2 linked regions of the Schizosaccharomyces pombe genome follow. The protein of the gene in region 1 interacts with the protein of each later gene in a pairwise test. Each region holds a gene or a part of one and is shown in the gene's direction. Other genes may lie near its edges.

What was found.
Region 2: the proteins of mak1 (region 1) and mpr1 interact in a two-hybrid assay, tested with the Schizosaccharomyces pombe proteins (one study listed by BioGRID).

Annotation. Positions count from the first base shown.
Region 1 is NC_003424.3:4,705,930-4,718,845, forward strand, and holds mak1 (phosphorelay sensor kinase Mak1), read left to right. Parts: upstream 1-3,779; 5' UTR 3,780-4,040; coding exon 4,041-4,109; exon of another isoform or gene 4,110-4,209; coding exon 4,210-9,060; 3' UTR 9,061-9,332; downstream 9,333-12,916. Other genes in the region: kinesin-like protein Klp3, read left to right, coding at 986-1,096, 1,150-1,249, 1,458-1,531, 1,577-1,730, 1,804-3,029; mug51 (variant protein kinase 19 family protein), read left to right, coding at 10,641-11,561; SPOM_SPAC1834.10C (uncharacterized protein), read right to left, coding at 11,785-12,098, 12,160-12,382; secretory pathway protein Sec18, read right to left, coding at 12,809-12,916. UniProt on the Schizosaccharomyces pombe protein: Involved in the control of the SAPK-dependent transcriptional response to peroxide stress. Also has a role in G2/M regulation.
Region 2 is NC_003423.3:1,201,052-1,212,390, forward strand, and holds mpr1 (histidine-containing response regulator phosphotransferase Mpr1), read left to right. Parts: upstream 1-2,000; 5' UTR 2,001-2,705; coding exon 2,706-3,593; 3' UTR 3,594-5,722; downstream 5,723-11,339. Other genes in the region: aspartate aminotransferase Maa1, read left to right, coding at 1-923; SPOM_SPBC725.03 (pyridoxamine 5'-phosphate oxidase), read left to right, coding at 5,989-6,762; 2-hydroxyacyl-CoA lyase Hac1, read left to right, coding at 7,914-9,575, 9,627-9,671; npp1 (nucleotide pyrophosphatase), read right to left, coding at 9,844-11,301. UniProt on the Schizosaccharomyces pombe protein: Binds to the msc4 response regulator which is part of a multistep phosphorelay system that transmits oxidative stress signals to the spc1 MAPK cascade.

The DNA of each region.
Region 1 (12,916 bases):
GGAATTCGGTTTCTCTAAAAACTTATGGCATATGACAGGGTAAGTAAAGTGGGTGCCAGGCGATGGTCCACAGTGGGGGTCTATTTTCATATTCAGTTGAATACTATTAAGGTACACTTCTTGAGTATTCAAATTACCTTTACTTATACCTGAAGTGATACCAATGTGGGGGTTGTTACATCTCGATTATACATAAGTAATCAAGTATTGAAACGCAGGTGCATTTAGATGATAGCAAGTGTACTAAGTAGATCTATTTATGAATTATGCATTTTCCATACCTTTTTCTCTTCGGTAAATGAATTGGTAGGTTGGTATAGCTAGTAGAAATACAAAGTAGTAAAACAAACGTTTTTTAATGCTAATGTTTGAAATAGTATCTGGGATAAACTTGTAAATTGCAAATACATCCAAATCTCCATATAAACTTCACAATTTAAAAAAATTATTTAATTTAAAAAAAAAAATAAATAAATACCTGCGAGGTTTCTCGTTCTTACCATTTAATCAAATTTTCATAAATAAATATGTGAGAAATTGCAATCCAATTTTCGTCACAGATATTAATCAGACGAAGGGTAAAATACTCTGCTTAAAATATGAATCAAGATTGAACAATCTTAAGAATTTTATACATGTGTAAATCTTCAAATAATATCAGGAAAAAAAGAATATGTAGAAGGAAGTAAACAATTTTAGCCTGTTGATTTGTAAATTTATTTTTTTTAATTCACACTTCGAGCTTTAACATTAAACAATTATGTAGTTAATTACATGATATTATTCTGTTTTTGATACGTTGCCTTAAACAACAATTATTGTAGAGGCACCATGTTAGGTTAACCTCGTCTTTCCCTGTATATGAAATTAGCCCGCTCACATATTGTCTTTAATGATTTTTTTGGATGTATGGATCTAATTTATATACTGCGTTTTAATCATACATTATTTGATTTTTTATCTTTTTATAAAGCAGTTTTACTCAATGACTTCAATTAAAGTAGTGTGCCGAATTCGGCCCACGAACCAGTTGGAACAAGACCTTGGAGGAAATAATGTGATATACCCATTAAACGATTCTACTGTTCATATCGAGGTAGGTTTCAACAATTGATCTTTACTTTAGAATTCGGCTGACATGATTAAAAGACTAGTGATTACTCAGGAAACTTTGTATTCGATCGTGTTTTTCATCCTTCTAGCACTCAGAATGATATATTTTCGTATTCAATTGAATCGACAGTCGATGGTATGTGAATGATAGTAAAACTTTACACGGCGTTGAACGGATTAATTTCATCGTTGTCAGCAACAGCTTGTATGAAATTATAGCATAGCCTTTTTTTATATGCGCTCGTTTTGACGCTTCATTTGAAACGAATTGCCATTTTAATACATTGTTCGAATCACATTCAAGTTGTTCTGAATTTCATTAAATATGTACTAATATATTATAGACTTATTCTTGGGTTATAACGGAACAGTACTAGCCTATGGACAGACAGGATCCGGCAAAACATACACCATGATGGTATATTCACAATTTCACCTGGCACACTTTTCTAACAATCTTTAGGGTATTGAAAATAATTTCGAAAAAGAAGGAATGACTCCAAGAATGCTCAGGCGTATTTTTGACAAAATCCGCGATTCACCATCTACTACTGAATACGAAGTGAAGGTATCATACATGGAAATCTACATGGAAAAAATTCATGATCTACTTTCCGGTAAGCCTTCAAATGCCGTAGAAATTTTGCGACGTTCGTATTTAATTTCAGCAAAATTAACCATGATTTACAGAAAAAAATGACAGACTGACGGTTCATGAAGATAAACTTCAGGGAGTTTATGTTCAAGGTTTAAAAACGATTTACGTATCAAGTGAAACGGAGGCATTGGATATTTTAAATAAAGGTATGGGGTCACGTGCCGTTGCAAGTACGTCGATGAATGCGCAAAGTTCACGGTCTCATTCTATTTTTGTACTCGAAGTTGTCCAAACGGACACTGAGTCCGGCGAAACTCGACGAGGCCGGTTGTTTTTAGTTGACTTGGCAGGTTCCGAAAGCGTAGGAAAAAGTGGAGCAGTCGGGCAAACCTTAGAAGAAGCAAAGAAAATAAACCGTTCTCTTTCAACTCTTGGAATGGTTATTAATTCTCTCACAGACAGCAAATTATCACATGTTCCTTATAGAGATTCCAAGTTAACGCGTATTTTAAAAGAGTCTCTTGGTGGAAATTCTCGGACCACTCTAATTATTAACTGTTCACCAGATTCATACAATGCAACAGAGACCTTATCTACTCTTAGGTTTGGACATCGTGCAAAGAGCATCAAAAACAAAGCGGTAGTAAACTCAGAACTTTCTGTTGATGAAATGAAAAGACAGCTGTATATTTATAAAGATGCTTTGTCTCGTTGCGTTTGTGGAGCCAGAATTAACAATAACTTAGACTATAATAATTGTCATTCTAACGTATGGTCAGGCGAGCATTCCCTCACACTGTCAAATCTCGCCGAAAAATCCAACTTAAAGGAAGCAGAAATCATTCAAGGAAATAGAACAATTCAGGAAAGTAATAATGACAGAGACGAAAGCACAGTTGCTTCGATACACAGACATAACTTTGATTCTGATTCTATCAATCGTTTGTATGCTGAAGCACAACTTGAACTTAAACAACGAGATGGTGTTTTATCATCCACTAAACAGCAATTGTCAGACCTTATGACTGCATTGGGCGATGCTCAGGAGCGGTATGTTGAGCTTGTTAAAAACCACAGAGTAAATTCAAATCTTACTGCAAACAACTCATTAAATGACAAACCGGGTTTTACAATAGAACAGAAAGATAAAAATTTTTCGATAAATAACGAGAGAAACAATTTTTTACAAAAACTGAGTACTTTGGATTCCTCACTGGCTGCTCTAGTAAATGTTCAACGAAAATTGATTAAAGCTTTAATTTCCAAAGAGCGACCTCAAAATGGAACAGTAATTAAGAAAATTCAAGGGGGCACTTAAAAGCTACACTTTTTTACTCTGCTTTGCGAAGGATTATATATGTTTAATTAATTTCTTTAGAGTTGTTGAGCTCACATTTAATCATGAAATATTGCATCTCGTCTAGCTGCTTTCTGAATAAACTAATTTTCTGACTAATTATTTATGCAGCTTCTTTTATATTGCTGCAGCATTATAATATAAAAGAAAACAGCTACGCAGCAATGCATTGTTTATATGCTTATTCAGCAAATGTGTAACATCTCAAATGATGATGTAATAACAATTCAATAAAAATTTACCGTTATAATATAATCAGCGAATTTAGTAATCTGAGACTACTATTCTTTAGCAAGGATTGACTATTGGCTAAGCAATCATTACCTTTTTTAAGCTACAACGAACTGTAGTTTAAGTGTTACTTGCGATGTATATAATCTTATGTAGGATGTTTATCGTAGATGGTAAAATGTTGTATCAATATAATTATGATATTGAATACACTAACATAACCACACATATATGGCTTATAACTGAAGTCAGGAAAGAAGGTTTGAATGTATCAACATAATGCATTGTTATAAAACTACTAGTATAGAAGATTTACACTAAGGATGGAAATACGGAGAATCATGAATATTATGAAAAGTTGAACTAACGCAGCACAGTATAGTGTAGTGACTTGTTTCTAACAGAACGATCATATTTACTAGCCACCAATCTTCGCTAAACAACATTTACGCGATCTTCAATATCCATTTACATTTTGCTAACACAACTTGTTGAGTTGTTTCATTTCCCTATTTCGAACACTTTTTACCAATCTTCAGTGCTGTAAAGTCGCTAGGAAAAAAGCGTTTTAAATGGTACGCTTATAATTTCCATTGCTGGTTGCCGTGGTCAAATAACTCAAATACATCAGTTTTTTATTTGAAACGATCTTTATAAGATAGCACTTTCTTTTTGGTAATTACAGTTGGAAACTTTGTTTTATTTAGTATCTATACTGGCCTGTAAATTTAGTCTAAAAAAATGAGGCCACCTGACGATCAAATCAACAATAACGTTGGTTCTAATTCTCACTTGGAAAAGTTGAAAGAGGTAAGTGATTTCAATACTTGGATTCTCCTTTTTTAAATATGAAATAAAATGTGATATCTCTTGTTACTTAATTAATTTAAATTACTAACGTTTGAATAAGGCCATGGACCACCAGCTGCAAAAATCATCAAAAATTGTAGGATCGTTTACTAATTCTCAAAACTCTTCTGTTGGCTCTGTTCATTCTCCGATACTTGAATCTCCCACCAGTTTAAATAGGCAGCATCGAAATTCATTTTCTTTCAATAATGTATCTTCTCCTTCACTAGAGGATGAGCGACTTATTAATTTTCCCCGAGTAAATCCAAATCGATTGATGACATCCAAACGTCCCAATGAGTTATTTAAAACCTCCTCAATGAGTTCAGATTGCTATTCTCCTCAAAAATCTAGGGAATCACTAAATTCATTATGCCATTCACCTGCTCCATCCGTTTCTTCTTGTGGAAATGCTTTGAACAACGATAATACTTCTGCTTCGCACTCACTAACTGATGAGCAACCATTTGAAACAGATTCATCCGCTAACTTATTTAAGCAGTTACAGGAGAAGCGTAACCGTACCATTGGAAATGTGTATGAAATGGCTTGCTTATTGGTCTTTAAAACCGGTTTGATGAATTTCTGGAAAAACATTATTGACTTTTTCGCTCAGCAGTTTTTTTCCACTCAAATATCTGTTGTAGAACCGCGTGACCTTTCTGACATATACAATACTCCTTGGCAACTCAGATGTTATTACGATGGCGGTTCCCATTATGATCCGTATAGTAACCCTATAAGTGTTAATGACAACCTTGCTAGCAGTTCTTATGTTACCGTAGTTGCTTCGGATGGTTCAAAGGGTATTATATACAAAGATCCAGCTTCTCTTAAACATGAAGGGGATTTGCTTATTGATAGCAAAGTTGTACAAACAGTCTTGGAGCGTGCGACATTGCTTGTATATACACGTAAACAACAGCACATTGTTAAAAACACCAAGGTTCATGATAATGATTACTTTAGTTCTATACCTAATGTTGATGATATTCGCAGCATTAAGAATTCATGGAAAGTTTTTCATGATGAAAAACTTAATGAATTGAAAAAGCAGGTTGAAATTAGTGCTTCTGCAGCTCAGTTAAATGGACTTTATCCACAGAAAAAGAGAGCATTTGTTTCACATTTCAGTCAGAATCGTAAACCGTATTCCCAAAGTGACATTTCAAAAGCACAAAGTTCGTCTTTTTCGGAAGAACCTTCAAACATTTATGATGAGTATGAACAAAATTTACTTTCTCCTTGGTCAAGATCTCCAGTTGCTAGTCCCTCCATTCAAACAGATCCTAATAGGAATCCATTCTTCCAAAATTGCTTGCAAGAATCTTCTTTCGCTACTGAATCGTCAACAGAGAAGTCTGCTTCAGAGTCCGTATCAGAAACAGCTGTTAATGATGATTGTAAAGGTATGAATTTTTCTGGTAACAGGCGTCAAGAAGATCATTTGAACGACTTCACCAGTTTTCCTACTGAAACTGCTGTCAGTATTGTACATGTTCCTCTGATGTTTCCTTGTTCGGATCAAACTTCAAGCCGTGGGAGAGCTCCAATTGCAATTCTTTCTTTCAAGTCCAATTTAGTTCCTTATCCGGAAAATTTAATAGCCTCCATAGAACGTTTGATACCCTTTATTTTTTCTTCATACTCAAATTCTCAATCTGTTCCGTTACTTCCTTGTCCTACACAAAGGCATCTATTATTTAACACGTCTAGCACTGACAATACCAAGGAGTTGAGTATGAGCGCGAGCTCCGAAAACTCTGATTGTCCTCATAAAGAAGGAGAGTGCGTAGGCAGCTTTTGCAATATCAATGCTAAAGGATCTTCTCTTAATAACATACCTAAATTGCCTAGGTTTGTACCAGTTCCTTCTGAATTTTTTAAAAAAAACCAGCGATCATGGGTTACTTTAAAGAAGCATCGTTTGCTAGCTAGATTGAAGTCTCGAATTAGCAAAAAGAATTCTAAAGTGAACGAGAATTTGAGATTCTCGCTAAATGATGGTGAAAATTATTCAAATGAAACTATTACTCTAAAGAAGGATGAAATTGTTTTAGATAAATCAAAATCATATGCCTGTTGCACTTCTGAATCTCACAAGTATGTGCAAGGGCATTGTGGTGGTCAAGCGCCTCCTTTTCCCTTACTAAAGGTTATAATTGATTCTATACCGGTTCATGTGTTTACTGCGGATCCGGGAAGTGGAAAACTCACATGGGTTAATAGAAAAACTCTTCTTTACTGTGGTTTAAATATGAATGAGCAAATAGAGCTACAATTTAGTCGAATTCATCCTGATGATCTGCCAAACTTTTTAAATGACTGGAAATCTTCATTATTCTCTGGTAGTGGTTTTTATCATGAAATTCGTTTGCAAAGGTTTGATAATGTTTATCGATACTTTATCTGTCGCGCGGTTCCTTTACGGGATTGCACTGGATCTGTGCTACATTTTTTTGGAACAATGACGGATGTCCATGATCAAAAGTTGGCAGAACGAGAACTACAAAAACAATCAGCTATAGCCGCAAATGAAAACAGCTACAGGTCTTTAGCTGAAGCTTCTCCTCAAATTGTTTTTGCCGCAAATGGTAAAAATGGAATTATTTATGCAAATGCGCAGTGGTTAAGTTATTCAGGTCTTTCACTGGAATCTTCATTGGGACTTGGGTTTTTATCTGCTGTATATCACGCTGATCGCAAGAAATGTTTATTGCCTGAATCTTTGGAGGGAACGTTTAATAACCAAGACGAAAGTAATGGTACCAAAACGTTTGCGGCGGAGATACGTTTTAGATCTACCGATGGTCATTATAGATGGCATTTGGTGAAATCTGTTTGCGTAAATAATTCTGCTGATACGTCTACTAATCTCTGGTTAGGAACTTGTACTGATATTCACGATCATAAAATGTTGGAAGAAAAGCTCCAAGAATCTAACATTGAAGCTCAAAGAATTGTTCGGAGCAAAATGCAGTATCTTTCCAATATGTCTCATGAAATTCGAACCCCTCTTATCGGTATTACAGGCATGGTAAGCTTCTTGTTGGAAACTCAAATGTCTGCCGAACAGCTGAGTTATGCACGTATTATTCAGCAATCAGCTAAGTCTCTTTTGACTGTTATCAATGATATTTTGGACCTTAGTAAAGTCAGAGCTGGAATGATGAAGCTAACTAGCCAACGCTTTTCTGTACGAGCTATGATGGAAGATGCAAACGAAACTCTAGGTACCCTCGCTTTTTCAAAGGGAATAGAATTGAACTACACGGTTGACATTGATGTTCCTGATATAGTATTTGGGGATAATATGAGAATGAGGCAAGTTGCTTTGAATGTGATCGGAAATGCTATTAAATTTACGAATGTTGGTGAAGTTTTTACTCGTTGTTCCGTTGAAAAGATTGATTACTCAACCAATACTGTTGTTTTAAAGTGGGAATGCATTGATACCGGTCAAGGGTTTAACAGAGATGATCAATTACAAATGTTTAAACCGTTTTCTCAAGTAGAGAGTTCTACATTACCAAGACATGGTGGCTCAGGTCTTGGATTAGTTATTTCAAAAGAGCTTGTTGAGCTACATAATGGTAGTATGTCCTGTCAAAGTAGAAGAGGCGTGGGAACGCGCTTTATGTGGACTGCAACGTTTACAATGGATAAAACTCCTCTAAAATTTGAACCCCCAGATGGTTGTTGTCCAGTCTGTTTTTGTCCATACGAAAAAAGCAAACAAAGCACAGAAGACTATTATTGCGCAGACGATGGAAACGATAAAAGCGCGACGAATTTTGTAAAATTGGCCGTAAATAAAGCAGATCCCGGAAGAGAAAGCAACCGACGTAAACTTGAATCGGACAAAAATGTTCAATCCAACAAATATGTGAATCCTTTCGCTTCTGAATCGGAATTTTGTCGATGCGGCGCATCTGCTGATCCATACACAGTTCTATTTTGGAGACTCTATAGAAACAAACCTTCTGGGATCAAGTTGGATAAAAGTGCTTTAGCCGTTGTTGTATCACACACTAAATACAGTAGTGAAGCGATTGGCAACATGCTTCAATCAATTATCGATATAAGCTCATTTAAAGATATCGTAAGGTATGGAAATACCTATGAAGCCTTTGAAGAATTGCTAGAGAATCCTATGCAATCCAAGGTCACCCATATTATATTAAATCTTCCGGACATAGAAGCATATGTTTTATTTGTCAAATCACTGCAACTTTGTAGTCTATACAAGGATACAAAATTTATTTTGGTGACTTCCACTCGACAAAAAGAATCATTATCTAAGATTTTTTCAGATAGCGAGGATTGTAATTCGGAAAGCATCCATTACGTTTTAAAACTTGTGAAACCATCCAAGTTTTTTCCATTATTTTATTCTGATTCTGAGGAAAAGGGGAAAATCGGTGCACTTAATGATATGACTCGAAAGGCTGCAATGGAGCAGAAGGCTGATGCTGAAACACTCCGATATAATCTGGCAAAGTCTGGCTTTAGCGTGTTGTTGGCGGAAGACAACATTATCAATATTAAGGTTATAAGCCGTTACCTTGAAAGAATTGGTGTCAAATTCAAGGTCACCATGGACGGTTTGCAATGTGTTGAAGAATGGAAACGTGAAAAGCCTAATTTTTACTCTCTTATTCTAATGGATTTACAAATGCCTGTTATGGATGGTTACCAGGCATGTAATGAAATTCGTAAATACGAATTGGAAAACGATTACCCTAAAGTTCCTATAGTTGCACTTAGTGCGAATGCTTTACCTCATGTTGTTTTAAGCTGCAAAGATAGTGGTTTTGATTCTTACCTTGCCAAACCTATTACTTTGCAACACTTGTCCTTAATCATATCTGGCATACTTAATTATACGAACCAATCAAAGTTACACAAATGATTTGATATTTAATCTTCACTCACTTTTGCTTGTATTTTTAGAAAGGATCTCACTGTTTTAATGCTTTTATTTTTACTTTATATTTTTTCTTTGTTTTGATCAAAAGCTTATTTAGTGCCTATATTTATTTAAATTGACAACTTCTTATTTTGAATATTTTCCAAAATAATAATTATCTAAGCATCTCATATTTTATTTTATTAACTTTTTAATGCATTTATATTTCCAGCGCCCAGAACCAGTATAATAATATTAAATATCACATATTCCCCTTGTTTAATGTAATGTGTATTTTATTGGCAAGTTAAAAAAAAAATTGTATTGTGTGCTAATCAATCAGTTTTGAAATACAAACCAAATTAAAGTATAGGAAGCAGTCAAATAATCAATTCGAGGATACATTCTCATTGTTAAATGCAAACTTTAGGTAATTCGTAATTAGCTCTTGTAGCTCAGTGGTAGAGCGCTTGCCTAGTAAGCAAGAGGCCCAGTGTTCAAGTCACTGCTGGAGCAAATTTTTTCCCTTACCATAAGCGTAAATTATGCTACACTTCACTATGCATCACTACATATATTTGTTCACTGTGTAGACAGGATTTTTATTCTAATTCCAAGGGGAATGCTATAAGCCAGTCCAGAAAGAAAAAACAAGTTCTTGGTTGGTATCAATACCTTTCGTCGTACAAAGTATATTTAGTTCAATTACTGGCTTTGCCTACAACCGATTAGATAATGCATCAATACTTATACTACGTTATATAGTATTACTATTTTACATGTCAGCAATACTACACTAGCTACATGTAAGCTACGCAGTTTGGTATCTGATTTAAGGATACGTAGAACTGCGGTGAGTTTTCCTTGTGGTCTATTATATTACAATACACAGGTTGTATAAGTAGCAACTGAGTATAGGTATTGTATTAACTGGGTTATAATGTTACCTATCACTAATATAGCTCATAACTGAACTGAGGAACGAGGTTCAGTTGTAACGCTATTTATAATATTTCTAAATAGTTGTTATCAACGGGTATCTATGTATATAGACGGATAGTTACCCGTGATTATCAATAAACGGATCTTAGCTAGTATTCCAACATATGACATATAGTGATACGCAACGTAATGTATCATAGCGTAGTGTAGTATTGCTGACACTACAGTTGTGCAACACTCACTGTATGCCATATGTTAGGATTTTAGTTCAATCCGTGTATTGATAATTGCCGATAACCACCCTTTTATTAATTTAAATAGACTCCCACTGTTATGAACCATTAAAAAGATTATAATGAAGCCACCACTAAACCTCGTTCCTTAGCCCAACTATAAACTATTTTACTAATAGGTTACATTGTAACCCCAAATTTAGAATATCTTTAACGAGTTGCTACTTATTTTCCTGTACTACTGTATAAGTCGCAAGGAAAACTCACTGCAGTTTTTCGTATCGTTAAAATAGTTATTAAACTGCGTAGCTGGCAATTAAAAAATCACTGCGTTAAATGTTGAAGGTGATGAAAACTCGACTAACGAAATTTCTGTAAAGTAAGTTACTTCCCTTACCTACCTTGGCAATGCCTGCTTTATTAAAAATAAATAAAAAGAAGAATGGACAGACTAAAATAGACAGACTGTTTAGCAAAAGGAGAAAGACTTCTTTAGCAATTGAAAAAAACCACTCTAAAGCATCTATGTGTACTGGTCAATCACCATTAAACATCATTTCGTACAATGTTCCTCCATTGATTGTATTAAGAAACAAAACGATACGAAACTCTATAGAAGTTTTAGTTGAGGAAATGTTTCGTGACATTCAAATGCGCCAGCAAACGAATGTTTTAGTTGCACAGTGTCCGCGAATGATTGTGGAAACACAGTTGATAGGCTTATTTCAATCAAACTATACCAGTGTTGCTGAAGAGTTAGAACAATCTATACGTACAGGAGACATCCGTCGTCTTTACCTAAATAGATCTGACAAGTTCTGTGGTGAGTCTTGCTTAATTTTGCGACCTGAGTTTGATAAATTATTTACATACTATTTGTGCAAGTTCAAAGATCAGGAACATATTTATACGCTAATCTTTAAGTTGCATAAACTATTGATTGAAAATCCACTACCTTCCTACACATCCGAGGAGTTGAAATTTAATTGGGAGGAACGACGACTGCTGATTAGTATGGGCTTTCTTATTCTTGCTGGCACTGACTCTTACGGAATCTCATTACCCAACCTTGGCATTTTTACTCATATTTTGCGTAACAGCAGAAACGACTTGTCAAATTATTTAAAAAAGAGGCCGTACCGCGAAGTAATTGAATCGTCACTATATAATCGCAATGTTTCGGTAGCTTGCAAAAAGAAGAACGAAGCATTTTTTGGTTGGAAGTTTCGACTTTGCGACGCCATAGGAGCCGGACTGGTTGATTCGTTTATGACTACTTGTGGAAGAGCATTCCGTTTAACTAAAAAAGGACTTGAAATGAAGTTTTAAAACACTGTCGTCAGATAATTCACACATATTCGAGAACAATCGGATACGGTACTATTTATTCATATCATACACTTTCATTAATCAATCTTTACCATTTTTTTCCTCCCTTTTTTATTCAAAAGATGAGCATTATTTTATTCGTTCTACATTTCAAACTCGATTAAGACCTAAATTACAATACATTGAATTTTATATTAAAAAACTTATATAGTTATTATGATATCTATTTCGAATCGTTTTTGTTTATTTGCTTAGGTTGCTGTGCCTGCCGTATAGCATTAAAAATTGGCGTAGCCAATTCTGGGTGCAAGTAAAAATATCGTTTGGGTACAGTAGTGCTTTCAAGGTTTGCGAATGGACGACTATTGTTGGTATCAGGGATTTTGAGCTTGTCTAAAGTATATTGGGATAAGCGCTTTTTTCCTAGAATATTAAATGTATTTAAAGATAGCACGTTTCCCTTTAACGTTGCCTCCGAAACATAAGATTTAGCAGCCCAGTGAATTATTGCAGTCGACAAACTAGTAGTAGTACATGCTAACATGTTAATAAATTTGCTTTGGAAATTTTGGTAATCCGATTTCTTGATGAAACATACCCAAGAAAACCATCGACATTCTCGTTCCCAAACTTAAACCTCCTGCATCAAGTAAAAGCATCACTGGAGAAATCATATAAGTTAAACCTAATGATCCAATCGAAAACTTTTTAATGTTTCCTATAGCTTTTTTAAGTGGAGCATCATATACAGCTGCTAGACTAAATGATGTTGAAGCAAACCAGCGTCTTGCACCAAGTAGTATTTCGGAGGGCATATTCATTTTAGAATTAAGTATGTGAGTTGAATGTTACGATTTTTAAATTTCCATGTCCTTTACTATTTATGACTGATGAAATTAAAGATTTAGAATATGAACCGGGTCAATGTGGAGTGGAAATAGCGAATTGGTAAATTGTGCCTCTCAGTATGGGAGTAATGTAGTATGCTTAAATTGTTTACAATGCTTCAAATGATTATTTATGGATAATTGACTATAAAAGGCTATAAAGTTATATTGATAAGCATTCATTTAACAAGATGATTTAATTTTTTTAACGTTACATATAGGTTCGAACATCTTTTAACTTAATATTCATACAGTATTGCGGTGTATTCATTAACTATAATCTATAACGGTATAAAATATAAAAAACCTTGAGAAAATATTCATGACTAAAACGTCTCAGTTATTAAAAAGGTGTCATTGCTATTCCATAGGAATAGCACGGGCCATGGCTTCAACAAAACAGGAAACAACGTCTACATCCTGTTTAGCCGTTTCGGCTATCATAAGAATCTTGGCTACTCCGACATT
Region 2 (11,339 bases), on another chromosome or scaffold:
GGCTGGTTTCTGCTCAATCCATTAGTGGTACCGGTGCCTTGTGTATAGCAGCTAATTTCCTTGCTTCATTTTATCCATCAAAGACTATTTACGTATCTGACCCTACTTGGGGAAATCACAAGAATGTATTTTCTCGAGCTGGCTTGACCGTTAAGTCCTACAAGTATTATGATCCTGCTACTCGTGGGTTGGACATTAAAGGCATGTTGTCCGATTTAACTTCAGCTCCTGATGGCTCTATTATATTATTGCATGCTTGTGCTCACAATCCAACTGGTGTAGATCCTACGAAAGCTCAGTGGGATGATATCCTCAAAACAATGCAAAAGAAAAACCATTTTGCTCTTTTAGACATGGCTTACCAAGGATTTGCCAGTGGTGATTTTGCTCGTGATGCTTATGCCACTCGTCTGTTCGCCTCCAGCAATGTCCCCATGTTACTCTGCCAATCCTTTGCTAAAAACATGGGTCTATATGGTGAACGTGCTGGCTGCTTTAGCATTTTAGCCAACGATGCTGAGGAAGCCGCTCGTATCGAAAGCCAAACTAAGATTCTCATTCGTGCTTTGTATTCCAACCCTCCCGTCAATGGGGCCAGAATTGCCAACCATATATTGAGCAACCCTGCACTTCGTGAACAGTGGGCTGGTGAAGTTGTAGGCATGTCCGAACGTCTTAAGAGTATGCGTAAGGCTCTTCGCAACATCCTTGAAAAGGACCTTAAGAATAAACACAGCTGGAAGCATATCACTGACCAAATTGGTATGTTTTGTTATACTGGTTTAAATCCCCAGCAAGTTGATGTTTTGGCTAAACAGTATCACATTTACCTCACTAAGAATGGTCGTATTAGCATCTCCGGTCTCAACACTTCCAATGTAAGATACTTTGCCGAAGCTATCAATGCCGTTACTTCGAATTAGTCGGTGGTGAAATTGAAGTGAAAAGATTTTGGTTTATTATATAGACAGATGGATTTTTGATTGATTCTTTGTTCTGAATCTTTTTTGTTCTTCTTTCTGTTTTTATTTTATTATACATACATATAGACAGACTCAAACACACATATACATATACATATATTTGTATACATTTAATTTTTTTTCCCTTTTCATTTCTCCGAAACCATGAGAAGACGTATTTAGTAACCTAATTGTCTCGGCTTATTTTTTTTTCCTTATACTTTCGCTTTGAGGTGAATAACTACAGTTTTGCTTCCAAATAGATGGCATGGTCTGTTTTTAAATGAATGGATTTTGGATCTAAAAATTGACTAAATATTGATTCGTTTTCGAAATAGTATGCTTTTCGTTTGTCTATCTTCATTTATTTCCATACTTTGTTTCTGTAGATGTTTGTCTAGTAGTTCACTTACTTCATACTTTAGATTGCCTCTAGTTAACCCAAAATTTGGCACATTTTACTATCCTCTCTCATATACATATTAAATCCCACTTTTTCGTTGGAAAACTATCAATTATCTTTCCCATTGCATTTGTCATATGTTGGGATTTCCCAAGTTCATCAAACTTCTGAGATGTACGAAATAAGTGAGGTAGGAATGAAATTTGTGCAAAGCTTTTAATTATTTCTAAAAATAGGAGAATATCGCTGGAAATTGGCACCTTTCCAATGACTAGGATAGGCCCTATGTAGTGATATCGAAATAAATATCTGCAAAAAGAGTATCATTCTTCCCTCCCAATGTGCAATGCTACAGCCATCAGGAATTGCTGCGCTTATTAGGAAATGGCCGAAAATGCCAAAGATGGTGGGAAACTGTTCTTCCATCTCCAGTTCGTCTTTTTTTTCTACACTGACTGATATGGAGGAATCATTGAAATTCGGGGTATAGTGAGACGTAGCGTCATTATATTAATATACTTTATCGTTTTGGGTGGTTGTGTATCGGTACATTTGACTGCTTTATTACGTTGCATGGCGTCACTCCCAAGTGTGAGTTTTGCAAACAATTCTTTCGCGGCATTTACCTACTTTCCGTCTCCCATTTACTACATTAGAATATCTAAAAATCAGACATAAGCACAGGCAAAACCATAGTCTCTACTCTCTGCCTTACCCTTGTTGCATTTGAACTTAATTATAGAGAGAGCACTTAACAATCTTGTGAGGATTGGTTTTCTGTCTTTTGAATTGATACGAAAACAATAATATCGCCTTTTTAGTAGAGCTTGATAATTTTAGAACTTAGCAGAAGCTGAAGGCAAGTTTGTGTGGCGTCTAAAACTTGGCATCAAAGTTTCGAACACGCAAAAAAAGCTCCAAAACCGTATTGACTCTTTTCCATTAGAATCGTTGTTGAAGGAGATTTATCCACAAATCCTATTTAGTATTTGTGGGTTGTGTGGTAAAGCCATTTTCTTCTTTTGGTAATAGCCCTTGTACTGTACTACAGGTTAGTGAAACTGTTGATTATTTCATTTTGCTGGCATACCACACATTATTTTTATAATTTGTTTGTGTTGTCGACGCCTCTTTCAATAACTCACATTTCCTCGCTTTAATTTCAAATCGTTGTTAAAAAAGGAAAGTCTTAAATCTGATACAATATTCTGTATCGATTGCTACATTTTACTGTTTGCAAAGTAATACTGCTGATAAAATTTAGCTGAGCTTCTCCATTCGCTCTTACTTTAAACCCTTTTCTTTTTTTTTTGGATTTTCTTTTAATTATTTTCTAAAAAATGAGTGTATATCGTGATAACATGTATATGAAATACGACCGAAACTTCGAAAATCGTGTCGCCCGAAGAAATGGACAGGCGCGTAACGCTAGTCTTGCTAAGACTCTTCACGATTCTGGCATAGCTGAACGTGCACGCTCTCCTTCAGGGTCAGCGATCCCCCATGCTTATCGGGTTATGAATGGTTCTGGAGCGAATGACACTTCTTTACCACTGACCTCAAATCCTGCTTATGTTGCTCTAACGTCACGTATATCTTCGAGCAAAAGTGAAAACAATCAACAATTGGCTGCTAATGAGACGGCTGGCGCACCTGAAGGCACGGAGGAGACCGTTGACATCTCCAATTCTATTAGCGATGACCATGCGAATGCCAAAAATCTTCCCGCTGCTTCAGTCAAAGCTTTGGTTGGGGCTGGTGTCTTGTCGGATGAACTTTCAGTAATTGCTTACGATATGTCATTTGAGGATGAACTCATCCAAGACAAACAGCTCATTGATCATTCCGTTTTTGACCAGTTGCTTGAGATGGATGATGATGATGAGCATGAATTTAGTAAGAGTATTGTTTGGAATTATTTTGAGCAGGCAGAGACTACCATTGCCGACCTCCAAAAGGCCCTAGAGGCTAAGGATTTGAAGAAGCTTTCCTCGTTGGGGCATTTCCTTAAAGGATCTTCAGCTGTATTGGGCCTTACAAAAATGAGAAAGGTTTGTGAACGTATCCAAAATTACGGATCTCTACGCAGTCGTGATGGTGTAATGAAATTACCGAGCGAGGAAATTGCATTGGATTTGATTAGCAAATCTCTGTCGGTTGTGAACGACTTTTATAAGGATGCTCGAGCTTACTTACTTGACTTTTATGAAAAAAATTCTTCTACATAAAAGTCTCAACATGTCAAAGTACCTAGCCTTTCTTTCCCCCTTTTTATGACATTTATACCAGTTGTCTATCAAAGTCTTCTAGTTTTCCCAAATTTACGATAACTTGAAGTTAGTGATGAATTTCCAGCTTTTACGGTTTGAATAGTTATATTTATTATGACGCCCACACTTTTCCCGTACTTTGAAGTGCTTCCCTCTATCAAAGCAAATAGAGTGAAGTAATACAAGTCCTCAATTTAGTTGAGTATCCCCTATCCAAAACTATCAAAAACAGTCTATTTTTTGCTTTACCTCGTCTACCTTTTTGATATTGAGATATGCAACAGGCAGGGTTTTCCTGCGGTTTTTTTTTACGGAACATTTTTGAAGCTCTCGATATCAAACTTTATGTATTTAATAAGCTGCTTTCTCGAAAAAAAAAATTCTTGTTTGTTACGTTCTTACGGTCGTGGCATGTATTTATACCTTTATTTATCTAGTTTATTTACGAAATTGTCTATTGTGATTGTTTATCACAAGCCCAATCCCCTAATGTTGAAGGACTTTAAACCTTAGATAATATGTTTACAACCGGTCGTTTAAGATGCTGAATTTGGTTAATTCAAATTACTCTTCAACACTCATTTATCCCCACGATTGGCGACAGATTTTTTTTTTTTTCGAGTTTGATTTGCTTTGTTGTTGTTTTTTTATGTTTTTCCTAAGTTTTTAAACTGTGTTTTCAAATTTTCTTTAACCTAATGTTAATCATTACATGTACCTGATTCTCCTTTGTTTACCTTTTTTATTATTCAACTTGAGATGTTGATGGATTTTTTATGATTTTGGTGATAACCTTCACGTCCTTGTACATTACTGAGTTGTGAATTATGGTGGACTTCAAATATTGATTGACAAACCTTGCAAAAATTTTAAGTATATTGTTCTTGCTTTTTGTAATTATGATTGCTTTTGTCATTATCTCGCTTTAGAGAGATTATTTAAAGGATTAATGAAAACACCTTAAAATGGTCATTACATACAATAATTATTTATGATTTGATTCATTCAGCGTTTAATATGTGTACTTTCAAGTGTGATCGAACTGACTTTTAGCGTCACTTACTAAATGTTTTTGTTGTTGTGGGTTAAAGATCGAAAACAATTCTTCGTTGTAGATTGTTCGTTTTTGAGAATAAAAACTAAGAAAACACGTTTGCGATGAAATGAAATTAACGAACTTCTTTTTTTTGTTAATCGAAGTATAGTTTGTTCGATTCCGCAAAGACAAGAGAACATTGAAATATTGATTTGTGTGAAACAGCGAAATCAAGTATACCTCGTTAATTAGCGCGGCAAGTAGGATCCTGCGGATTCATAGACGTTCCTTTGGAGGCGAAGCGTTATTAGGATTTTCATACCCGTTGTGCAGCTTTTCGTCGCCTTGTTTTTCTAGAATGATGCGGGATGAATTGAATATGCGGAAGCTACAGATGTGCAAAAACTAGGCATAAACCTCGCTTGCCTTCTTAGTTTGCTAGGCAATGTGAAGCAAATGGTCATAATCCAAGTGATACGCCTGACAGAGACAATTTAATTTGTAAATTATTTTTATCATTGTTTTTATCCTCTGATGTTACAATGTATTCATTGATATCGCATTTCGGCATTCCGATGTTCAACCCCGGTATGCGAGAAGGTGTTGGCCGCTTTTTTCGGTATCAAAGTTGAAATTTTAGATGACTAATCTTATGTTAATTAAAGATAAGAGGACGAAGTTTGCTGAAATCAAGTACAGGTTTTGATTGACTAGGCATCCTCACTAATGGTGTGAGAGAAATCTGTTAGGATATGCAAGCTGTCATTTCTCACTTTTTCAATGTTGGAAACCTGTACACAGACAATGCATACTCTTTTCTATATCAATTTGCAAACTAGATGGCAGCTCATTGTTCTGTGAATAATCAGATTAAGGTACTGAACAACGGAATATGGATTGCAATGTTCTTTGAAGATCTAGAAGGGGAAACCATTTTTGTTAGTTAAAAGTTTTATTTTTTTGTTTTAAGTTACTAGTTATTGTCTTTATTTTCTTATTTTCCTTTCTCTGTGCACTAATATTAAATGATTTTACTCTTACTATTTACCAATTCTCTTGAGCAGATGAAGAGAGGAATATTTTAAAAAATTAGTGTAATCCACGATAACGTACAATTTGCTTTTTCAGAAATCACACACGATTTCGTTAGTAAGTTTAGCCGAACTTTAGAGTTGTGCCTTATACAGATATCTAGAGATCATTTCTGTATAGCGAGCGACCTTTAGTACGACACACTTAGCAAAGTCAATGACGTTTCAGTCAAACAAGTGACTTATATAGGATTCATACGTGCATCCCATTTCATCGTTTGCCAACATGTCCCTCGCTTGGAAAAATGAGTTATTGAAGCTTTTAAAAGAAAATGTCGACTCCAGTGGAGTTATTCATCCCGAATACTTCCAGCTGGCAACTTTACCCACTGGTAATGAAATTTACCCCAGAAATCGTACTGTAGCTATTCGAGGATTTGTCGGTACAGGATGGCATAAACCACGTCCCGATGATGTGCTAGCTACAGATTTATTGGTATTCTCTACGGATATTGCTTCTCACAAAGCTGCTGAGATTGCTGAGCAGCAAAAAAATACATTCCCCTCTGGACCCATACCGAACGCATTTGAAATGTGTGGATGGTTACCAAAGACAATGCAGCAAATTCGTATTTCCGGTCAAATTTGGTTATACACACCAGAACTTGCCGACCGAAATGAATTTCCCGCAGACAAGTTGATCCAGGATCATTTAATAAACAGCAATGGCCGCATTCCCGAAGAATGGTCTTGGGAAGAGGAAAGAAGACGTATTTGGGAGTTACATAGTCCTGAACTTCGCGCTTCCTTTTCTACTCCTCCTTCATACTCCAAATACCAAGGCGATGTGAAGGTGTCACCTTTACCTTCTACCCTCACTGGAAAAGAAGATCCCGGGGTTATTGAAGCTTGGAAGACTGCTTGGGGTAGATTTTCTCTTGTTGTTTGTGAGGCTAACGAAGTCGAGTTTTTGAATCTTACCCCTCCTCCAGGAAAGCGCGTTTTGCACAATAGAGATCTAAACACGAAACAATGGTCCTCCACTCGTGTCAATGTCTAAATGTTTTCCTTTTTTTTCGCACATCCTTTATGAATTGATTGCTCTTGATAAACGTGCAATACTTATGAACTACGAATATTAACTTATAATGATTACTCCTAACATTTTGGTTCTTTTTTTTTGTGGAGTATATGAAAAAGGTCTGATTCCCTCAAATTTGCCTAGCTTACAATTCGGTGGGTTTTGTAGTTGAATTTTTTTTTAGTACTGAAGCATAATACTGAGTACAAACTACAAACTCAGTGTATTCCGAATTTTCTAATGTTTATTTACGTTGTTAAACAACTAAATTATCACTTATCCTATGTCAAATTTCCAATCCGGCCACTTGATGAACTATTTACGTTTATAATAAATAAAAAATTATGAAAATTGTGTGTATTAAAGTACTTACAGGAAGACATTGTAAAAAATTGTTGCGAGATTAAGCAAATAGGCCAACCTACCTGCTAATGATGATCATTTATTAAAAGATCTTACCTGTATAATATTATATTAAGGTTATTACTATATGGCTTGTTTTATTATCTTATATTGTCTTACGCAGGTAGAAATGTAGCAAAAAAAAGGGAATAAAGCACCACATAAGAAACACAATGTCTTATTTGAAGGGACGGTGAATTGCCAAGTCATTTAATTTTATCGAATCAGTATTCATAGAACCGTAAAGGTCCCCGTTGAGTTAAGTGGCATTATTGAATACATGTGTGGATCTTAACTTATTAACGATACAAATTTAAAACCTGTTAACGTATTCCTTACTATACATTAAATACTTTAAGGAATTTTACCAAATTGGCTTATACATTGGATTATTAGTACTCGGTTACATAAGGGATTAGCAATTTCAAATACAGGATTGCTCATCCATCATTTTTTAAGCATTGCTGTTATTTAAGCTCATCTAGATCAGAACTTCTTTTTCTCTCTAAAGTATAGAACACTTGGTTTACAGAGTGACATACACTTCAGTTTGTCAGTTTATTGAGAAATAGGGACGGTATTGCTAGCTACTGGAACCAAACCCACCTTTACTTTGCTTTAGTCTTTTCTTGTTTTCTTCTGTCTTTCTTTTGCATTGAGCTTTTCATCGCTTTTGTTTGGTGAACAATATTATTCAATTTAGAGGTACATATTAATTTGTAATAACAATGTCTATAAGCTTTTCGGAATTGGTAGCTAAGACATTGTTGGACTTAGAGGTTAAAGTTGTTTTTGGCATTGTTGGCATTCCCGTAATCGAAATTTGTGAGGCTATCCAAGCAAGTGGAATTCGGTTTGTCGGGTTTCGCAATGAGCAAAGCGCAGCTTATGCAGCGACTGCCTATGGCTATTTAACTCAGCGCCCTGGGGTCTGTGTCGTGGTAGGCGGTCCTGGCGTTGTACATGCCATGGCCGGTGTTTTCAATTCTAAAACCAATCGATGGCCTTTGCTGCTTTTGGCTGGATCCAGTGAAACATTTCAGCAAAACTGTGGGGCCTTCCAAGAATTGGACCAGGTTTCTTACTTATCACCTCATACGAAATTAGCCGTGCGCCCCCCAAGTCCCAAAATGGTTGTTGATTCCATTCGAAGAGCGTATCGTGTCTCCATGACCGGCACTCCTGGAACATGCTATGTTGACTTGCCAGCAAATTATATTGAATCTACTGTCGATGACTTTCCTAAAGACCCTCTACCCCCAATTCCTAGTTCTCCCAAATGTGCACCTGATCCAACACAGCTTCAGAAGGCTGCATACTATTTAAAAAATGCAAAGGCACCTCTGCTTGTCGTTGGTAAAGGTGCCGCATATGCCTGCGCTGAAAAACAGCTCTTGGAATTTGTTGAACATACTGGCATTCCGTTTCTTCCGAGTCCCATGGGCAAAGGTTTGTTACCAGAATCGCATCCCTTAAATGTGTCTTCGGCAAGGTCAGCTGCTCTTCGTAATGCAGATGTAGTGCTCTTAGCAGGGGCACGTTTAAATTGGATATTTCAATATGGTCTTCCACCAAAGTGGTCTCCTAATGCCAAATTTATTCAAATTGATACCAATGCTGAAACTTTAGGAAACAATGCTGCAGATTTGGATTTAGCAATTTGGGCTGATGTAGGTCTGACAATAGATTGTCTTTTTAAGCTCGTTCAAACTTGGAAGTACAGTGTTGGCATCTCGACCCCTTACCTTCGCACGTTAAATGAAACCCGATCCAAGAATGAGAAAAAGGCTCTTGAATCTCGAAAGTCCAGTATACCGTTGCAAATGAATTATGCTTTGTATGTCGTGAATGAGGAGCTACAAAGCTTATCGCTCAAATCAAAGCGTAATATCACTTGGGTTTCTGAAGGCGCCAATACAATGGACCGGGGCCGTCAGCTTTTAGAAGTAACTCATCCACGTGGTCGACTGGATGCAGGCACTATGTCAACAATGGGAGTTGGTATGGGATATGCTATTGCCAGCGCATTTGCCCATTCATCCGACAAAATAGTGGTAGTTGAGGGTGATAGTGCTTTTGGCTTTAGCGCCATGGAACTGGAAACCGCCATACGCAACCAGCTGGATCTTTTGGTAATTGTAATCAATAATAATGGTGTTTACCATGGATTAGATACTGATGCTTATGAAACTTTACGTGATAATCACCAATTACCGACTACTGCCTTAGGCACTAGTATACGTTATGATCAAATTTGCGAAGCATGTGGTGGTAAAGGTTTCTTTGTAAAGAATGAAGAAGATTTGAGAAGTTCCCTCAGGAAAGCATGGCAAACCTCATCTGTATCTCTCATAAATGTTATGGTGGACCCGGAGGCTGCTCGAAAATTGGTAAGTATTAATGGAATGAATTAGGTATAAGAACAAGCTAACAATCACTAGACATTTGCATGGATGAGCAGTACCAAAGTGAAACCAAAGTTATGACCATCATTTAATTAAAAATAGAAGAAGTGATGTTCTTTTACGATTCTTAAAAATCGGAATACAGTTATTGTTGCTATTCAAATAAAGTCGTTTATTAAAAAAAAGTATTAAATATAATCTAAAGGAAATTAAAAATATTAAAAAATATAAAGATAGTGATAAAACAGCAGAATTAAATAAGCTTAGAGTATGCTTGTTCTATGTCCTTCAGCAACCATTCCTTAGTAGAATTACGATTTCTTCTTAAAGGTAAAGCACCTTCATATGTACCATTATTAGGCTGAGCTGGTAAATCTAATATATGCGAAAGAATGCCATAAATTTCGGTGTTCTGGAACGGTGCAAGCTTCTTTCCCTTAAAATTCTTAAAAGAAGATCCTGAAGCGATAAAAAGTGCTCTCATCACTGGAGACAAATTGTCATAACCATGTACACCCAAAGGCTCATACTCCAACTCCGGTGAATGATCCAGCATCGAGACAAGAGACCATCCAACATCCGGGATCATCCAAACGGGAGCTATTCTTTCATTATTTGAGTAATGCCATCGAGAAGGTATATCTTTCTTTGAATAAACATTCCAATTCTCAGCAGAAGGTAATGACGAGCGAGAATAATTAACAAGACTTTCGTAAATGTACTCATCATCTAAATCAGATTCTCCTCTAAAACCTCCTAACGGCCAAGCATCTCTGTGTGCAACGGCAGACAAATTAAACATATTATCCAGCCAGATAAGACGATTATCGGATGTAGGCGCCATTCCATGATCACTTAAAAAAATAATGTTGACATGCTTATCGATATTTCTTTTCTTCAGTCCTTCAATTAGTTCACCAATTACGATATCAACTTCTTGAATTATGATATTCAGTTCAGGCGAATCCGGTCCAAATGCGTGCCCAACCATATCTACATGGGGAGCATAAGCAAGTAATAACTGAGGGCGGTCTTTATCAGGAAGATCCAGCCATTCGAGTATTCTATCTTTCTTTTCTCTTAGAGTCGTATCAAAATTGAAACCATCCGAATAAGTAGGTCTGTAACCATGATTCTCCACTTCATTTCCAGGCCACATATGTACCGCTGATCGAACGTTATTTCGCTCAGCGTTGACCCATATAGGCTCCCCTTTATCCCACCAAGTTGGGTCTTTGTTACATTCAGGCATACTGTTGACAAATTGCTTCCCAGTTACAGGATCAAAAAAGTTGTTACTAACGATTCCATGGCTCTCGGGATATAAACCGGTAACAATAGTATAGTGATTAGGGAAAGTTATACTAGGAAAAGAAGGAATCAAAAAGGGAACATGGACATTACGTTCAGCCAGGCTCAGAAGATTAGGTGTGAACCCACGATATAAGTAATCAGCACGGAATCCATCCAAGGAGATTACGATGACAGTGGACTGAAAAACATTGGTCCCATTGTTGAAGGAACCTCCAACGATAGGAAAAATAATTGCTTTGAAGCAAAATAATTTCACAATTGCCAATATCAGAATTCCTAAAATGCAAATAGCGGCAATTGCTAGTCCCGATCGTTTTGCCCATTGATTCAAATAAGCCTTTCGATCATTTTTCAAAGGCAAATACTCGTTGGACCCAATATTAGCCCAACTAAACATTTCGGCGAATGTTCAAAATCAATGATATAAAGGAGTAT